5 linked regions of the Sus scrofa genome follow. The protein of the gene in region 1 purifies or fractionates together with the protein of each later gene. This does not show direct contact. Links are inferred from orthologs where the notes say so. Each region holds a gene or a part of one and is shown in the gene's direction. Other genes may lie near its edges. The genes, in order: RPA2, ATRIP, CDC45, TOP3A and RAD52.

Region 1 (4,312 bases):
AAAGGGAATCCAACTAGGAACTATGAGGTTTCGGTTCGATCCCTGGCCTCACTCAGTGCGTTAAGGATCTGGCGTTGCCATGAGCTGTGGTGTAGGTCATGGACATGGCTCGATCTGGCATTGCCGTGGCTGTGGTGTGTAGGCCAGCAGCCACAGCTCCGATTGGACCTTTAGCCTGGGAACATCCATATGCCACAGGTGCGGCCCTAAAAAGACAAAAGACAAAAAAAAAAAAAAAAAAGACAGAGAGAGAGAGAAGAAAGTGTCTGCAGTTTTAGCAAAAGGAAATGCAATGGCCCAGAAACCCAGGGACCATGTCTTCGTTATTTGCCACTGAATCCCAGTGGCCAGCACAAAGCTTGGAACAAGAGATATCAATAAATATTTTTAAATTATAAATGAGGATCTGTTCCTAACAGTGTAGTAGTATTTAGAGCAAAGAACTGACAGACATGTTCCACTCTCCATAGGAGGGACACGGAGTTCCCGTCCTGGAGCAGCAGAAATAAATCCGACTAGGAGCCATGAGGTTGTGGGTTCGATCCCTGGCCTTGCTCAGTGGGTTAAGGATCAGGCGTTGCTGTGAGCTGTGGTGTAGGCTGCAGACGCTCTGATTAGACCCCCTAGCCTGGGAACCTCCACATGCCGCGGGTGCGGCCCTAAAAGGACAAAAGACCACAAAAAAGAAAAGAAAAACGTAAGAGGGACACAACCGTATTACATGAAGAATAGTTGAAGCAACCGAGGATACGGATCCGGACTAGACTGGGGTGGGGACAGAAAGGTTGGGGGGATGTCATCCTCAGATCTTTTGCCATTCTGGGAAAAAGACTGTAGGCTTCTCACAGCTTCTCTGCGGAGAATCAGGACGACGGGATGGCAATACCAGAACTGAACCTGGCTCTTTATGGAAAAGAATACGCAACCCCACGAGGTGCAATGAAATTACTACATTGAGCTCCCCGTATGTGTATATATTGTGCTAATGGCAAGTCCTACTACTATAACGCTTTAGGAGGCATCACTCGATTGGTAAGGTTTTGGACGAAACAAGACACGGAACAAAGGAAGTGATGTAAAGTGTCAGTCAGTTGCCGGGGGTGGGATTAAACGGCCTGAGATGTGGAAGTATCATCCAGATTGGTTCTCATCTTTTACTTTTTGGGCAACCGCCCACAGCATCTCGGGTGAGGGATCCGACTCAAGCCATCTCCGGATCCTTAACCTGCTGGGCCACAAGTGAACTCCTTGATTGGTTATTTTCTTGAGACACTGGCCTATCTTTGCATCTCTCAGGTCTCCCTTCCGCAGCCGCAGCCTATTTTGCCCTAAGTAACGATGGCTGCAGAGGCTTCGGATCTTCCCGGAGCGAAGTGCGCATTCTCCGGAGCTCGGCGCGGGAAGGCGGGAAAAGGCGTGGGATTCTTAAGCATTGATTGGCTGAGGGGAGAAACGCTCTGGACTCTGATTGGCTCCGTCCTTCGCGGGAAGGAGTTTGTGGCTCCAGCGAAAAGTAGATACAGCGCAGCTGCAACAGCGGAGTCCTGAGGGGGTTCGGCTAACCCACCGGACCGGAGCCTTCTGGAGCTCTACACTGAGGGAATAGTGACCAAGATGTGGAATAGTAATGATGAGTGGGGCGCCTGATGAGAATCGCAAGAAGGATTTAGCAAGGGAGGGCCCGGGGAGGCGTGTGGCGGCAGGGGGCGGGCGAGGGCCGGTGATGGGGGCGTGCGGGTCGTAGGGAAGATGGTGGGAAGGTTAGGGAGACTCTGGGAGTGGTTGGGGTGAAGTCTGGGGGGACTTGCGGATTTTTCAGAGGCTTGGAGGGTGGCACAAGTATTAATACTGCTGTTGTTTAAAACCAGGTGGATTTGAAAGCTATAGCAGCTCCTCCTTTGGGGGAGCCGGCGGCTACACACAGTCCCCTGGGGGCTTTGGATCACCGACACCTTCCCAGGCTGAAAAGAAATCTGTAGGTTGCAAGCGCATTTCTTTTTATTTTAACCTCTGCTGAAGCTCCTAACGCATCTGTGAGAAAATTTAGGCGGGGAAGGAAGGGTGGTAAACTGGACGTGCTTGTAAGTTTGAAAAATCAAACGTCTCCTAATTTTGCATACATTGTTTCCTTGGCTTTATTTTGAAAGTTACCAATATAACTAATGAATTAGTCTTGTGGGAAAAACCGAACTTGTATGTGTAGCCTATTTTACATTCTTCACATACTGGAAGTCATTTTTAAATGAAATGTAATGAGGTCATCTGATAAGGTGGAAAGAGCCTGGTCTTTGGAGTCTAGTAGATCTATGTTCCACTATTGCTCTGACACTGCTTGCAGGGTATCATTGGACAATTACAAAACTGGGAATCAGTTTTGCACCCACTAAATGGGATTAATGATACATATCTTACAAGGTTGTTGTGAGATTAATAACATTACATATAGTTATGCCTGCCCCAGAGTTGCTTTCAATAAATGGCCCCAGGGGTAGTTCCCATTCTGGCGCTGCAGAAATGAATCCGACTAGGATCCATGAGGATGCAGGTTCGATCCCTGGCCTCGCTCAGTGGGTTAAGGATCTGATGTTGCTGTGAGCTGTGGTGTAGGCCATCGGCTATAGCTCCGACTTGACCCCTAGCCTGGGAACCTCCATATGCCGTGGGTACGGCCCTAAAAAGCAGAGCAAAAAAAAAAACAGAAAGGAAAAAAAGAAATGTGATCAAGAGCACACTGCTCCTGAGTGGTCGAGCCATAATCTCAGCCCACCAGCTGGCTGCCACCTTTTGTGACATGTGTGCTGGTAGTTGACTGGGCTTACTTTCTACCATCCTGGCAATATTCACCGTTCAAAAGTATGCTTCAGCAGTTAGCCCACTGAGCAAGGCCAGAGATTGAACCTGCGTCCTCATGGATGCTAGTCAGATTCATTAACCACTGAGCCATAACGGGAACTCCTGTAATGCACATTCTTCACTCACTATTTTTTCACTGTCAAAATTTTCGTGCTTCAGGGTCCAGCCTAAATGCTCCCTCTTCTTGAAATTGCCAATAAATTTTTCCAAGATCCCACATTCTATAGTGTTTCAAGATCAGGCTTGTTATTTACATTTGTAGCATGTGTTGAGGGCAAATCCTGTTCCATTTTACTCATCTTTATTTCCCCCAAACAAACCCTGGCCAGTGGGAGACAAACATAAGAGTATACATGGTTAGGCTGCTTCTGGGTGTGATTTAGGTGTCCTCTTCTGCCCGTCACATCCTGTCCCTTTCCTTTAAGATGTCCCGTGTGGCCAGGCCCTTATCCCATTTTCCTCATACTCACATGGGATTGTCAGAACATCTACCTAAAGCTATATACCTCCAACTTTTTGTTATACTTTAACTTAGAAGAGCTTCAGAGTTCTGTCTTTGCTGGCCATTTCCCAAATTCCTTCCAAATACTATCTCTTCTCATCAGTGATGAAAAGCCAGCTCAAGCTTGCCTTCATCCTAAAGCTGGAGTTGCCTTTTCAAAGTCTCTTCCAGAAGCAGGTCATGTTCCTTTGCTGTCCACACTCTGGCTGACTCATTTTGGTGATCCCTAGTATAGCACAAACTTATCCAGTCATCAGGAGCTTTGGAGTCAGACAGACGTGGTTTTGAAATTTAGAATATGGCGTTGGTTAACTATATAACCTTGGTTTTCTTCTCTGTGAAGTAGGGACAATGAGGTTTCTTTTGAAGATTAGTGTTACAATATCCGTAAAGTGCTGGGCATATAGGAGGTGTTAAGGGACAGTAGTTATTATTTTCTTAATTGAATTTATGCATACTTTTTTCAGAGAGCCCGAGCTCAGCACATTGTACCCTGTACCATATCTCAGCTGCTTTCTGCTACTCTGGTTGATGAAGTGTTCAAAATTGGGAATGTTGAGATTTCACAGGTATGTAAAATAATTTGTGGAAGAGTCACTCAATCATATGAAGAATGAAATAAAACTTACTTCATTTAAAAATAGATTCATGTTGCTTTGGTTTCTAAGAAAACCAAACTTATTTTTCTTCTTGTCTAGGTGACTATTGTGGGGATAATCAGACATGCAGAGAAGGCTGCAACCAACATTGTTTACAAAATAGATGACATGACAGCTGCACCCATGGATGTCCGCCAGTGGGTTGACACAGATGTAAGCAGTTGTGTTTGAATCAGGGTGGGGTTACTTTGGGACTTTGGAGATGTTGAACTTTTTTAGTATCACTTTTTTTTTTTTTTGCTTTTCAGGGCCATACCCACAGCATATGGAGGTTCCCAGGCTAGGGGTCCAACCAGAG
Region 2 (4,171 bases), on another chromosome or scaffold:
CCCCTCTAACACCTTCCCTCTTAGCCAGAGATAACTTCTGCCTAGCACTTGTGTGACCTCCATTTTAGTGTCATATTCTTGTCTGAGGAGTAGTCTTTTTTTTTTTTTTTTTTTTAAGGGTAGCACTCGTGGCATATGGAGGTTCCCAGGCTAGGCATCAAATTGAATCTGTAGCCACTGGCCTACACCACAGCCACAGCAACTCATGATCTAAGCCGTGTCTGCGACCTACACCACAGTCCACAGCAACACCAGATCCTTAACCCACTGAGTGGGGCCAGAGGTCAAACCTGCGTCCTCATAGATACTAGTCAGGTTCATTTCTGCTGAGCCATGACAGGAAGTCCTTGTTTGAGTAGTCTTGTGTGCCATCCTCCTTGCTAACTCTTGATAAAACTCCCACTGAACCTGTAGGACAGCCCAGGTAACACTTAAGGGGGCCTGCCTTGAACTGAGTCTCATGCATTTCTTTTTTGTCTTCTTAGGGCTGCACCCCCGGCATATGGAAATTCCTAGGGTAGGGGTGAATCCGAGCTGTAGCTGCCAGCTTATGCCACAGCCAAAGCAATGCTGGATCCTTAAGCCACTGAGTGAGGCCAGGGATTGAACCCTCATCCTCATGGATACTAGTCGGGTTCATTACCGCTGAGCCACAATGGGAATTCCCTCATGCATTTCTATATGACCAAGCACTTGGGACAAAAACACCTAAGAGCTCTCTGAGAAATGAATGAATGAATATTAACAGCCTGAGCTGTTAGTTCCCACCCCCTCCAACACAGACACACTCTTCTCAGGATCATTCCTTTACTCCTTTTTTTCTATTGACCTACCTCAAATGCACACATTCAAAACATTTACTGTTCTCAAAAAGATGTGTGCTCACAACAGCGCTGTTCATACTCCTAGCCCAGCCCCCCTCTCCAAGACTCCTCCCCAAGAAAGCCTCGAGGTATATGTGAAGTGGTTCAGGCTGGAGGACAGTCAGGTCACAAGGACCCTGAATGTGAATGCTGCCTGCCTCGATTCACGCGTGTGAATGTCCGGGCATGAATTTGTGAATATCAGGAGGGCGAACTCCTCCAGCACAGCAAACCCTATGGGATGTCAAGAAGCTGGCACAGAGCCACCCCGGCGGTGGGGCTGGTGAGTCACCCCAGGTTAACTTGGCTCACATTGCACAAAGCACCCGCCAGGCCCACTGAGTCCTAACCGCCAGTACCTGAGCAGCAAACAGGGTGGGGCCCAGAGGCGGAGAACAAATAGGCAGACACTCAGTTGAGCGCAGTAGCGCGCTCAGATTATGTCATCCCTCCGCGCCTAAGAACTGGCAGCTGATTGGCCCCTTGGCTCCGGGGCGTGGCACAGCGGCTGAGGCAAGTGGCGGCGCGCGAGCGGTTGGTCCCCGCTCCTGGATAGAGGCCGGACTCCGTTCCTTCGGAGACTGGCCGGCGGCAGGCATGGCTGGAATACCCACGCCAGGCAGCAGGAGGCGAAGCGGACCCCCGGCACCCAATCCTGGCCCGCCGCCCAGCCCCGGGCACCCTCCGAGCAAGCGGGCCCGGGGCTTCCCAGCGGCCGCCGCTCCTGACCCCGAAGACCCTTTCGGCGCCCATGGGGATTTCACCGCCGACGACCTGGAGGAGCTGGACACCCTCGCGTCACAGGCCCTGAGCCAGTGCCCGACCACGGGTCGGGACATGTCCAGTGAGTGCGCCTCGGGGCCTTTTCCCCCGAGGATAATGCAGCCCTTGCCAGACCCCCTAGAAGACTGGGGAATCCCTCAGCGACCGCTGCCACGGTGTCTTGCACCCACATTACTCCTTCACCTTTTAAAAATACAGGAACAGCTTGATTTAAGCAGCGGTTGTGCCCGAAAAGGTCCTTTGATTTGGGGGAGAAATATATCAGGAATGTCAGACAGCCTATTTAAAATATAGAAAGCTAGGTTGACATTTTACTTTAGTTCCTATAGTTTGGACCACTAGGATCCTTGGAACATGATTACCACTGCCATCAGAACCCCCACCATTACTACCTACACATGAGGACCCATTCTTAGGACAGGTTTGAGTGGCTTTAGAACTAATGTCACGGCCAAAGCAATGCTGGATCCTTAAGCCACTGAGTGAGGCCAGGGATTGAACTCTCATCCTCATGGATACTAGTTGGGTTCGTTACGGCTGAGCCACAACTGGAATTCCCTCACGCATTTCTATGTGACGAAGCACTTGGGACAAAAACACCTAAGAGCTCTCTGAGAAATGAATGAATGAATGAGCCTGAGCTGTTAGTTCCCACCCCTTCTAACATGGGTCCTTTTCCCTTTTCCCATAAGGATAAGATGGGCTTGGAAGTAGCAAGAGGTAGAAGAGACATTCTTTTATACAACCAATAAATTGTATGAGGTGCCAAACTTTAAGAGCTGCAGACACTTAACAGTGAACAAAAGACAGAAGCCCCTTCCTTCATGGAGCTTACATTCTAGGTGGGAAATAAGTGAAGGCTTGTGGGACTTCACTGACTTCGCTTCATTCCTTGAATTCTCCCTGCTCCTTACCATATAGAAACTGCACATTGCTGTTTCTTATGCATTGAGTATTCTTTCCATCCATTCCCCATCCCCACTCACCTGCTTAATTCCTGCTTGTTCTTCAGCTCTCAGTTCAGTTATCACTTCCCTACAGAAGCACTCCAATCATTCACTTGGATCAAATCTCCTAGTATGGGCTTTCCTATATTTGTTCTTTTCTGCAGCTCTTATAACAATTGTGATTTTACATTTATTCGTGTATTTTTTACTGCCATGTAAGCTGCATGAGTGTAAGGACTGTATCCATTTTGCTCACCACTGTACCTTTCTTTTGAGGCTAAATTGTGCCTGGCATATTGTAGGTCCTCAGTAAATATTGTTGATAATAGACCTCTGAGTTCTGATCAGTGAGACCAGAGCACCTTTCAACTTTAGGTAAGACTCTTAAAAAGGGGTGGGAAGGAATTCCTGCTGTGGCGCAGTGTGTTAAGAATCCGACTGCAGTGGCTTAGGTTGCATCCCTGGCCAGGCACAGTGGGTTAAGGATTTGGAATTGCCACAGCTGTGCCATAGGCAGTCAGTCCCTGGACTGGGAACTTCCATGTGCCACCAGTGTGGCCATAAGTGGAAAAAAAAAAATTGGATGGGGAATGGGGAGAGGTTGGCAGGATCTGTTCTTTCATAAGGATTCAATTATGTTCTTATGTTGGACAATACCTATATTGCTTACTATATCTTTCTCTAATTTGCTTTCCAAAGTGATTATTTTCAGCATTGTCTGGTAAAAATGGAAAAATATTAGGTCCTGAAAAGTACATGGGAACTGTTTTTTACAGATGTTCAAAAGGTCCCCAGATTAGATGGAATGCCAAAAAATCCTACAGGGAAAAAGAGAGAAAGTGCTCCAGTTAAAGATAATTTTGAATTAGAGGTACTTCAGTTACAATACAAAGAACTTAAAGAAAAGGTAAGTGATTTAACTTGTGTTTTTTATAGTTAATTAATTCACGTATGCATATGTTATTAAAATATATATATATATATATATATAAGTTTAAGAGCCCAGACATTCCTACCATGGCATGGCAGTTAAGTATCTGGTATTGTCTTTGCAGTGGCATGGGTTCCATCCAGTGTGGCCACAGTGGCACCACAGGCCACAGCTGTGGCTCAGATTCGATTCCTGGCCTGGGAGCGTCCATATGCCCCGGATGTGACAAAAAGCAAAAAAAGAGTCCAGATTGATCCCCATGAATTGGGAGAAAGCTATGGAAAGAAAGCCAGAAAATTTTGGTGGAACTAAATCCTGAAATTCCTAACAGCCAAAGCAAGAAAGGAAACACTGTAACACTGTATACCATATCAAAAAGAGATACAAACTTGTTATAGCATTGAGATAAATTTATAGCATGTCTTAGTTAAAAAACACATCCTAATGGTTACTATTTTCATTAGCAGTTTTGTAAAAAAGCAGAAGTCCTCCATATGACCCTTTACAGTTCCCTAGAAAAACTAAGAACATAACAGGGAGGGAGTTTCCGTTGTGGTTCAACAGGTTAAGAACCCAGAAAAATGTCCTGAGGATCCCTGGCCTCAGTCAGTGGGTTAAAGATCCGGTGTTGCTGTGCCTCTGTGGTG
Region 3 (3,513 bases), on another chromosome or scaffold:
CTCACAGCAACACTGGATCCTTAACCCACTGAGCAGGTCCAGGGATCGAGCCCAAATCCTTATGGATACTAGTCATGTTCGCTAACCACTGAGCTATGACGGGAACTCCAAGTTGCTTCCCTTTTGTTTCTGAGTTTGTTCCATGGTGTGGACCCACCTCGGTTTGTTTAGCCATATACTCCCTGACGGGCATCTGGGCTATCTCATTTCCGGCTATTGTGAAGAGAGCTGCTATAAACATTTGTGTGCAGGTTTGTGTGAACATGAATCTTCATTTCCCTGGAATGGATGACTAAGAGTGCATTTGTTGGCTTCTGTGGTAGTTAATATGTTCAGTTTTTTAAGAAGCTGCCAAACTTTCCCAGAGTGTCTGTACCATGTTACCTTCTGACCAGCAATCTGTGATGACCCAGTTTCTCCCTGAGGAGTGTGGCTCCTTCTTAGCACTGGGCACCATACCTGCCCTCTGACCCCACCCTGGTGGGAGGTAGGGAGGGGCACTGGGCCTTTGCTGTGGTGGATGGGGTGGGACCATGGTGTTTCTGGTGGTGGTGCAGTTAGAGTTGAGCAGTTATCCTCTAAAAGTTTTCTCTTTCAAGGCCGGTCCTTCCTGGTTCTTTGGCTTTTGTTGGGGATTTTTTCTTCTATCGGTGTTTCTGTGTGGCCAGCTTCTCTGGAATATATGAACAAAAAGGAAAACTCTGGGAACTCCCTACTGTGACATTCCCAGGTCCTGGGACCCTTGGCTGGTCAGCCTTCCTCTCCACCTTTCAGACTCTTTTCTTTTTTTAAATATGCACTACCAGGATTTCTAGGTACATTTAGTGTATGAATAGAGACAAATACATCTACCTATCCTTCTACAAGCAGAAGTCTAGAGACTACAGATTTTAAAACTGCGCCCTCACCTGTGCCTTTATTGTGGGAAGAGAAAGAGGTTGTGCCTGTAAAATTAGAATAGTTGCTGGAAACAGTGGGGTTAGGATGTGAGGAATAGGAGCGCTCTCTTTTTTTTTTTTTTTTTGCTTTTTAGGGCTGCACCTGCAGTATATGGAGGTTCCCAGGCTAGGGGTCGAATTGGAGCTGTAGCTGCCAGCCACAGCCACAGCAATGCAGCTCCGCTGCATCTGTGACCTACACTGCAGCTCATGGCAACACCAGATCCTTAACCCACTGAGCAAGGCCAGGGATCAAACCCACATCCTCATGGATCCTGGTCAGGTTCATTACCGCTGAGCCATGACAGGAACTCCCCGTGAGTTCTTTCTAACATGGTGGGAAAGCGGGGACGTGGCAGCTGTGGGCTTTTTGTGGCTCACATGGTACTGGGACAGTGGATCTGGGGTGTCACCTAAGCAGATGCTGGGGAAGCGTCCAATCCCATCCACAGTGGCCACGGGGCTGAGGGGCCCTGCCGTCCCACCAGGGGCAGGCTGTACCCTCAGTGGCTTCTGACAAATTGGATCCTTCTCAGCCAAACTCCTTGGCTCACCTTTTGTTCTCTTTGTCCTATATCAGGAAATCGTGGAGCGAACCATGAAGAGGAGGCAACGAAGAGAGTGGGAGGCCCGCAGGTGAGGGTCCTTCCATCAGCAGCCCTGCCTGCGGGACAGCTGGGGGTGGGGGGTGGGGTGAGTATCACTGATATGCCTGGCTTTTCCTTGGGGGCTTTGTGCATTTTTTTTTTCCATTTTAGGATAATGTGTTGAGTTTAGAGCCTTTGGGCCAGTGTCTCTAGGACTGAGCATGTGGCCCCTGCATTGGGGAAAAGCTCAGGGACCCTCCATGTCACCTTCATGTCCCATGAGTGATGGGCTGGGCTCAAGAGCTCCCAACACCTGCCATCTGTTAGGGATGACAGCCCTGGTCCCTCGTTTTAATAGTTTTCTAAATCTAGATACTTTTCTTTACAAATTCAATAGATGGAATTGTATGAAACTCCTCATAGAAAAAAAATTGAAAAGAAAACTAAGCTATCCATAGTTCCTCTTCATATTGCAAGTTAAAAAACTCAAGTGCTTTAAATGAAAATGTTGGAGAGGATACTCTAGCTCAAGGTGAACATGCAGCAGTGCGCTTGCTGGGAATTCCCTGCTAATTGCATCCCTATAAGGCCTCGTGGGTGTCTGAGTGTCCAGCCCCTGCCCTGCTGCTCCATCTAAGGGCGTGCCCCTGTCAGCCCCACTTGGGGAGGCTGGTTGTAAAATCATTTGGGGAAGTGCAGGAAAGAAAAGTGAATATAATCCATTTTCACTAATAGGAAGAGGTTCCAGCTTTGGATTGATCTGCCCGGGGTTGTCTGTGCTTGTGCACGTTTTACATCATCACACCTAATTTTGCACTTTTCCACGTAATAGAACCATAGTTCGGAAATCTCCACAGGCCTTTGTAAAGTGCACGGTGCCGAACTGGCCTTCCCCTTCTTTGTGAGCTGGAGGTTGCTTTCAGTGTTCTGCGGTGACTGTCAGGCTGAAGCAAACAACCTTGCACACCGCGAGGCCTGTCTGGCTTGTCCCTTTGAACTGCTGTCTTGCCTTAACTTCTTGTGGGGAGTGGAATCTGGGACTGTGCCATTTTACATCTTTGGTAGCCACACAAGGTTTGTGCCCCGGTCACTCCCTTCCCAATGCTGTACACTTTCAGTCCTTGGAAGAGTCAATAAGTGAAAACAAATGATTTCGTTTGGGTTTCTTTGAGTATCGTCCATTCTAGCATTTTTCCCACTGTTTGTTTTCCTATTCTGCTTCCTGTTGAAGACCTACTTTTGTGTCTTTACAGAAGAGACATCCTTTTTGACTACGAACAGTACGAATACCACGGGACGTCAGTAAGTCCAGATCCCGGGATTCACTGCCATGTCCGGACTCTAGGGGGCACTGTCCTAAAAGAGGAGGAGGAATCAGCAGAGGTTTTAGAGCCCCCGAGGACTGGTTTAAATCCAAGCCTGCAGCTTCCACCCTGTGGCCTGAGGGGAGGATCTGCTCTTAGCCTCTCCTCCTGGGAAAAAGGGAGATAGCAGGCCTCACTTCAAAGGCAGTTGTTGGGATGGCCTCTCACACTCAGAGGTGCTCAGGGAACAGCAGCCACTCTTTCTGTTCATCATCAAAAAACAGAACGAGCCTGCGCTGATTTCTGTGCAAGAAGATGAAACTTGATTTGTGTGTTAGGATTTTCATCAGAAAACCCAGTGGGTTGATTCTTGTGCTGCTGAGCAGAGCTCAGGGCCTTAAGGGGACCTAGAAAGTGGTTCTAGTAAAAATCCTGTATTTAGTCTCAGAATTTGACCTGGGGCCTTGGCCTCTGAGCAGGTACTTCAGAACCCCTTTTGAGATTGGTTTGCCCTTGGCGGGAGGATTCTGAGCTGTAGGTGGGTTCACGGGTGGAAACAGATGCATGGCTGGGAAGCTCTCTTGGAAACCAGTTTCCTTGGAGATGCTGAAGTCAGGCCAGTGTCTCACTGCAGACAGGGCTTTAGGGTCTCCTGGTCGGACGCTGATCTCCTGGTCTCCTTCT
Region 4 (3,513 bases), on another chromosome or scaffold:
CTAGAACAGGGCTGCTCAAATTTTTTGACCCCGAGAGGAGCCACCCCTGGGACACAAGTCTGAGTAAGCCACGTTGGGGGTGCCCTTCCCCGTCTCCACCTGGCAGGGAAATTCGGGGGTGGGTACTTTGGGGCCCAGTTCCAGAGGATGAAGTGCCAAACGTGCAGCGTGTCCCAGGGTTCGCGTGGTGGTCCCCGAGCAAGTTCCCAGGCGGCCGGGTTACGGATGCACGCCCGCAGCCTCGGTCCCGGCCGCCTCTGCCGGGGGCCCTCGTGCCCAGGGCCCAGGAATCTGGCCGCTCCCCGGCTGATTCTTGTCCTGCTCAGCGGAGTCTGAAGACCCCGGGCTGGGGGCTGGCCCTGCCTGCAGGCCCAGAAACCCTTCTTCAGCTCAGCCTGTCGCAAGGATGTGTGACAGTGGCTGGAGGGATGGGGCCGGCGTTCTGAAGATGAGGCGTGTGGCCGTCGTGCCTCTGGCTGTGCCCTCACCCGCCTGCCCACGTGTCAACAGGAGCTGGAGAAGCTGGCTTCGCGCAAGTTGAGAATAAACGCCAAGGAAACCATGAGGATCGCGGAGAAGCTCTACACTCAAGGGTGCGTGTCCGTCCCCGTTTGGGGACAGGCCTTGCCGCGACTTCCTTGAGGCGAGATGGTGTAGAAGGAGAGCCGGGGAGACACAGAGCCCCGCGGTGGAAGACTGGGGATAAACCGTCCTGCGGGCGCCCCGGCAGCGGCTGCCGTGTCCTGGGAGAGCCCACGCCTGCGCAGCCGCCGAGGCCCTCAGCAGAGCAGGTCTCAAGTCGCGTGTTGGCCTCGACTCCTCTTCTGGGACGCGGACAAGCCGTGTCGCAGTCCCTTAACCTGCTAAGAGGGGAGCCTGCAGAGCCCCTCTGGACCCTCAGCGGGCAGGGCCTGGGGTCCTGCCACCCTCAGGGGCTGTCGCTGCCGGCAGACCCTCCCGCCTCGGGTCACGGGCGCCCGAGTCGTCCAGGGACCGCGTGGCCCTCACTGGCTGGAGCAGCCGCCACGCGCCAGAGCTGGCTGTCGAGCGCGTGAGATCTGGGTTGTCAGGGTCGAGAGGTGCGGCGCCTGTGACCGTCCAACAGTGTCGAAGGCCTGTGGGAGAGGGAGGACGCCGGCGTCCCAGTGCTCCGCTGAACGCCCGCCGCGCGTGGGGTCCACGGCGCAGCCTGGCGGCGTCGCGCTTCCTCTGCTCTAAGGAAAGGGCGGGACTCACCCTGGTGCCCGTGCCCACCGACGCGGGGCCGGGGCTGTAGCAGGCGTGCCCTGCCCCGTGCTGCCTGCGCTCATCCCCGACCCCAGGGCGTGTCCCTGCTGCCCCCCGCCCACGGGGGAGCCACAGCGCAGGGCGCTCGCCGTGTGGGTCCCGGTGGGTCACTCGGGCTGCTGTGGGCGGCACCGTGCTCTCCGGCCAGTTGAGCCGTTCTGGACCAGTTTCGCCATTTTCTGTTCTATGCGTTTGGCTCACCCTAGGTACATCAGCTACCCGAGGACGGAAACAAACATCTTCCCCAAAGGCTTGGACCTGGCGGCCCTGGTGGAGCAGCAGACCTCAGACCCGCGCTGGGGGGCCTTTGCCCGCAGCATCCTGGAGCAGGGCGGCCCCACCCCACGCAACGGGAACCAGTCCGACCAGGCCCACCCCCCGATCCACCCCACCAAGTACACCGACAGCCTGCAGGTTGGTTTCCCGGCCGTGCTGCCCGCCGGCCCCGCGCGGAGGTGCCGGGTCTGAAGTGGGTTTGGACCCTCCGAGGACACATTTTGAGATGTGTCCTCCCCTTGGGAAAAGAGACGTCTGGGTCAGGACGTGCTCCCCCAGGAGCTCAGCCTGGCCTCCCTGGAGACTGCACGGTGGGCTCCCCCCCGCCCGAGCCCCGGCCCTCCACACGCCTCCCAAAGTACAGGAGGAGGGTGTCGGGAAGGAAACAGTTGTCTGCAGTCCGGCATCTCCTGCCGAGACCCTCAGCTTTCAGTTAAACCTTAACGTTAAGTGGGTTTCTGACCCGTCTTTCCGTGTGAGCACTTCCCCACGTGCCAAAATGTTTTAAAGCCTGGTATTGAATGATCGCATAGATGGACTGTAACTTACTTTGCCAAATCTGGTTTTGAAAGATTAAGTTGTTTCCAGCTCATTGATACGTAACGTACTAAGGGGTCTCACATTGAATACGTGATACTGTTCGTGTGGCTCCGTTTCCTCTGAAGACGCTCTCAGCGAGTTCCCGTCGTGTCTCAGCGGTTAACAAACCTGACTGGCATCCATGAGGTTGCGGGTTCGATCCCTGGCCTCGCTTCGTGGGTTAAGGATCTGGCGTTGCCATGAGCTGTGGTGTAGGTCACAGACCCAGCTTGGATCCCGCGTTGCTGTGGCTCTGGCTTAGGCCGGCGGCTACAGCTCCGATTGGTCTCCTAGCCTGGGAACCTCCATATGCCGTGGGTGCGGCCGTAAAAAGAAAGAAACAAAACACTCTTAGAAAGAGAGTCGCTGGACGTGAGCCTCCACCCCTCAGCGGTTTTGACAGACAGAGCCGCCGGAGCTCCTCGGTCACCACATCCGTGGAAAGTCACTGTGAGCCCCGTGCCGCGGGCTTGGTCTGAGGCTGCCGCCCGCGTCCTCGCCCTACGTCTCTAGCGTAAGGGGTGTCTCGGTGACCTCTGAGCTCTCAGCCCGTCTTCTGCTTAGACGGCGTCACGTCAGGACTCCCTTCACAGGCGTGAGGGCAGGTGGCCCTGCCTGTCTTTGCCTGGTCGCAGCTGGGAAGGCCGTCAGCCCGCACCGTGAGCGGCAGAGGGTCCCCGACGACAGCCAGGTCGAGCTGCCGGCGGCGCCGAGGCCCTGGCGGGGTGTCCAGGGGCTCAGGCGCCTCTTCTCGCAGGGGGACGAGCAGCGGCTCTACGAGCTCATCGTGCGCCACTTCCTGGCCTGCTGCTCCCGGGACGCGCAGGGCCAGGAGACCACCGTGGAGATAGACATCGCGCAGGAGCGCTTCGTGGCCCACGGCCTGGTGATTCTGGCCCGGAACTACCTGGACGTGTACCCCTACGACCACTGGAGCGACAAGGTGCGGCGTCGCAGGGCCCTGGGCCGGGGAGGGTGCCGTGCGGGGTCTGACCGACGTCGGCTGCCCCCGCAGGTCCTCCCCGGCTACGAGCGAGGCTCCCGCTTTCAGCCCAGCACCGTGGAGATGGTGGACGGGGAGACCAGCCCGCCGCAGCTGCTCACCGAGGCCGACCTCATCGCCCTCATGGAGAAGCACGGCATCGGTCAGTGGCTTGTCAGCATGGGGCCTGGCGGCTCTGGCGCCTTCCCCGCAGCCGTGACGCGGGCGCTGGGTTCAACCCCCGCCCCGGAGCTGCAGGGAGGCTTGGAGCAGTTGGGAGCTCGGGCAGGGTGCAGAGCCTGTGAGAGGAAAAGCACGGTCCAGGTCGCCCGGTCCTTCCTGCCCCGAGCCACTGCCCTGCGGCGTCCCCGCGTGGGCTCGTGCCTCCT
Region 5 (3,490 bases), on another chromosome or scaffold:
TTCTGGCAAATCTTTTTTTTTTTGCTTTTGAGTGCCGCACCTGAGGCATATGGAGGTTCCCAGGCTAGGGGTCAAATTGGAGCTACAGCTGCCGGCCTACACTACAGCCACAGAAACACAGGCAGGATCTGAGCCACATCTGTGACCTACACCACAGCTCACGGCAATGCCAGATCCTCAACCCACTGAACGAGGCCAGGGATTGAACCCGTGTCCTCATGTTTCTTAGTTGGATTCTTTTCCACTGCGCCACAACGGGAACTCCTGGCAATTCTATAAGCTTTTGTTCATTTGAGTCCACATTCAGTGGGAATAGTAGATAACAGATTTTTTTGAGTCTTTCCCAGAGACTAAAATCAGAGGGCTTATCTCAGACCAAAAATCCAGACAAAAAAGCTGGATTTTTGCCCAGCTTCTTCCTTAGAATCATGAAGATTCATAGAGGACTTGCTGTCATGTTTTAGTTCCTTATAATTCCCCTCAGCACTAGCAGGCTGAAATTAATGTAGGAAAAAAAACAAAAACAAAAAACAAATAATTTACTTTTCTGGGGATGTTTTTCCTAAGAATTAATGTTCTGTATCTTTAGCTTCTGGACCATTCTGGAAGCTCTGGGGGTGAGGGGTGGAAAAGGAGTGTCCTTCAGGACTCCCGCACCCCTGATCAATCATCATGTTGGTTTTATACACTAATTTCTACTTAAGATTTTGTTTGAACAAGGGTTATAGCTTCAAAAAGTAAAAACTTGACGAGATGTCTTATAATAAGCCATTTCTGCTGCTAAAAAGGAAACTTTTGTTGGTGAGAACAAAAATAGAGTTTTCAGACCTGTTTTATATAGGTCTGGGACACAGGGTCCTGCTGGCTATGCTGTGTAATCCCAGGCAGCTCTGCCCCCTGGCCCAGTTCTACTGTCCTGAGACTGTCCCTTCTCTGCAGCAGGACCACTGGCGAAGCACAGCACTCCCGGAATTGCTGTTTCAGAGCCACTCACTAAGACAGCCGTCCTTGCAGGTTAGTAGGTTGAAAGGAACAGCTAGGTACTAGTCAGTAAATGCTATGAAGCGTCTGTAGATTGCTGTGTACTTGGGTAGTCACAAGTACATTTTAAAAGAGGCATTAGGAATTTCCCTTGTGGCACAGCAAGCTAAGGTCCTGTGTTGTCACTGCTATGGCTTGGGTTGCTGCTGTGACGAAGTTTGATCCCTGGCCCAGGAACTTCCATATGCCATGGGTGTGGCCAAAATAAAATGAAGGGCATAAATATCTTAATTTCTATCCGTTTTGTAGAAAGAGGACCCAAAGGGACTGACAGCAGTGCTGACTATAGCACATATTCAGCTCCTGTTGTCTTAACCTAAGAGAGGCTTTGGTCTTTTAGGGGTTGGGGAGAAATTCAAAAGCCGTTATAGGATACTCACGTTATGGGATTTCACATGACCTACTTTCCCAGCATTTCACCGTGAAAACACATTGTTGATGCTAAATTTTCCTATGACCTCTGTCCTTGCAGACAGTCTTGAAATGTGGGACATGGTTCTTGATGTAGCAGACAGTGTGGTCCAGCCCTTGGCTAAACCAGAACCACTGCAGACCCCTGCCACCTCAGTCCCGAAGAACCAGATGGAGACTCAGAACAGGACCCACCAGAATCCACAAGCAAAACCTGAACCCTGGCACTTCCAGACTCACCATCTTAACCAGCACATAGCAGGTAGCAAACTGTTTTAGGAGCAAAAACTGAAGGGAGAACCTGGCTTTTTCTTTGAATTTTAAAGAAGAATGACATTCCATCTAAGATGCCGGAGAAACAGCAGTGTAAGAAATGGAGGGTCATTGGCTTAAGAGCCCAAAGTTTCCCTTGGGGCCTTGACTTGCGGTCTCTTACTAGTGGGATGTGTAAACGTGACTGCAGGAAGAGCTTTCTTGTTAAAAGTTTATTGCAGAGTTCCTGTCATGGTTCAGCAATTAACAAACTCAGACTAGTATCCAAGAGGATGAGTGTTTGATCCCTGGCCTTGCTCAGTGGGTTAAGGATCTGGCATTGCCATGAGATGTGGTGTAGGTGGCAGATGCGCTTGGATCTGGTGTTGCTAGTAGGGGCAGTAGGCTGGCATCTGCAGTTCCCATTCACCCTCTAGCCTGAGACCCTCCGTATGCTGCTGGTGGGGCCCTAAAAAAGAAACACACACAAGAATGTTTGGAGTTACTTTGTGGCTCAGTGGAAACAAATCTGACTGGCATCCATGAGGATGTAGGTTTGATCCCTGGCCTTGCTCAGTGGGTTAAGGATCCAGTGTTGTCATGAGCTGTGGTGTAGGTAGCAGACGAGGCTTGGATCCTGCATTGTGGTGGCTGTGGCGTAGGGTGGTGGCTGTGGCGTAGGCTGGCAGCTGTGGCTCTGATTTGACCCCTAGCCCAGGAACCTCCATATGCCACGGGGATGGCCCTAAAAAAAAAGTTTATTGCAACTTGGTCTAATGTTAATACAGGGACTTTAAAAGTATGGTTGTTAACTAATATGACTCAAATTATTAACTGTCAGTTTATTTTAAAATCATGGCAGCTATTATTTGAATAATTTTCTCTTCCATAGGAGACTGTGATTCCTCTAGGAAGAACCAGGACATGAAGAAAAGGAAATTAGATCCATCTTAACCGAGGCAGGTGACCTCACTGGACTCTGTCACAAAGGGACTTTCAGAAATTATGCTTTGATCATGAAATGATTTATCATTTGTACATAAGTCAAATCAGAGCTAATGAAATCATGAATGTGCTTTACCTCCAGGGATTTACCTTGCTTCTTCCAGAACTTTACCAGATTTGACTGTTGGAAGCTGCTACAGATAAAGCTGGGCAACTGGAAAACAGGCAGTTAAAGAGAGCTTGTCACACAGTCCAGGTTGGGAAGCTCTGCGGAGATTAAACACTCAAGGTTCTTCACTGTTTATTCCTAAGCTATTACATTTAAAAAAAAAAAAAAGACATTCTAGGCGTCACCAGTGGCTACCTTCCTTTAAACAATGTAAGCCTTATTCCCAAGCACCAAACTTGACAGGGGCCCATAGTGCATTTACTGTGAGTGACCTCTGACCTTTCACTGCAGGGCTCCACAAGTGAGGCTAGTCTTCCCATATGAGTCTTTTTTTTTTTTTTTGGTTTTTTGCCATTTCTTGGGCCACTCCCGCAGCATATGGAGGTTCCCAGGCTAGGGGTGTAATCCGAGCTGTAGCTGCCAGCCTACGTCAGAGCCACAGCAATGTGGGATCCGAGCTGCGTCTGCCACCTAACGCCATAGCTCATGGCAACGCTGGATCCTTAACCCACTAAGCAAGGGCAGGGACCGAACCCGCAACCTCATGGTTCCCTAGTCGGATTCGTTAACCACTGCGCCACAACAGGAACTCCCGAGTCTTATTATTATAGGTTCATGATGTCACTATCTGCATTTTTTCCTGATCAAGGAAACAATAAGACCAGAGAAAAG

Evidence for each region.
Region 2: the proteins of RPA2 (region 1) and ATRIP purify together in Homo sapiens (affinity purification with western blotting; 5 studies listed by BioGRID, with this or other methods). This does not show direct contact. The link is inferred for Sus scrofa from reciprocal best matches to the Homo sapiens genes RPA2 and ATRIP.
Region 3: the proteins of RPA2 (region 1) and CDC45 purify together in Homo sapiens (affinity purification with western blotting; 3 studies listed by BioGRID and IntAct, with this or other methods). This does not show direct contact. The link is inferred for Sus scrofa from reciprocal best matches to the Homo sapiens genes RPA2 and CDC45.
Region 4: the proteins of RPA2 (region 1) and TOP3A purify together in Homo sapiens (affinity purification with mass spectrometry; 4 studies listed by BioGRID and IntAct, with this or other methods). This does not show direct contact. The link is inferred for Sus scrofa from reciprocal best matches to the Homo sapiens genes RPA2 and TOP3A.
Region 5: the proteins of RPA2 (region 1) and RAD52 purify together in Homo sapiens (affinity purification with western blotting; 3 studies listed by BioGRID and IntAct, with this or other methods). This does not show direct contact. The link is inferred for Sus scrofa from reciprocal best matches to the Homo sapiens genes RPA2 and RAD52.

What each region holds. Positions count from the first base shown.
Region 1 is NC_010448.4:85,043,095-85,047,406, reverse strand, and holds the start of RPA2 (replication protein A 32 kDa subunit), read left to right. Parts: upstream 1-1,507; 5' UTR 1,508-1,614; coding exon 1,615-1,624; intron 1,625-1,868; coding exon 1,869-1,975; intron 1,976-3,822; coding exon 3,823-3,924; intron 3,925-4,053; coding exon 4,054-4,167; intron 4,168-4,312. UniProt on the Homo sapiens protein: As part of the heterotrimeric replication protein A complex (RPA/RP-A), binds and stabilizes single-stranded DNA intermediates that form during DNA replication or upon DNA stress.
Region 2 is NC_010455.5:31,158,489-31,162,659, forward strand, and holds the start of ATRIP (ATR-interacting protein), read left to right. Parts: upstream 1-1,360; 5' UTR 1,361-1,460; coding exon 1,461-1,707; intron 1,708-3,369; coding exon 3,370-3,500; intron 3,501-4,171. UniProt on the Homo sapiens protein: Required for checkpoint signaling after DNA damage. Required for ATR expression, possibly by stabilizing the protein.
Region 3 is NC_010456.5:51,139,617-51,143,129, forward strand, and holds part of CDC45 (cell division control protein 45 homolog), read left to right. Parts: intron 1-1,515; coding exon 1,516-1,574; intron 1,575-2,778; coding exon 2,779-2,827; intron 2,828-3,513. UniProt on the Homo sapiens protein: Required for initiation of chromosomal DNA replication. Core component of CDC45-MCM-GINS (CMG) helicase, the molecular machine that unwinds template DNA during replication, and around which the replisome is built.
Region 4 is NC_010454.4:60,457,680-60,461,192, forward strand, and holds part of TOP3A (DNA topoisomerase 3-alpha), read left to right. Parts: intron 1-510; coding exon 511-593; intron 594-1,493; coding exon 1,494-1,701; intron 1,702-2,899; coding exon 2,900-3,085; intron 3,086-3,157; coding exon 3,158-3,287; intron 3,288-3,513. UniProt on the Homo sapiens protein: Releases the supercoiling and torsional tension of DNA introduced during the DNA replication and transcription by transiently cleaving and rejoining one strand of the DNA duplex.
Region 5 is NC_010447.5:68,143,688-68,147,177, reverse strand, and holds the end of RAD52 (DNA repair protein RAD52 homolog), read left to right. Parts: intron 1-939; coding exon 940-1,014; intron 1,015-1,513; coding exon 1,514-1,714; intron 1,715-2,596; coding exon 2,597-2,658; 3' UTR 2,659-2,982; downstream 2,983-3,490. UniProt on the Homo sapiens protein: Involved in double-stranded break repair. Plays a central role in genetic recombination and DNA repair by promoting the annealing of complementary single-stranded DNA and by stimulation of the RAD51 recombinase.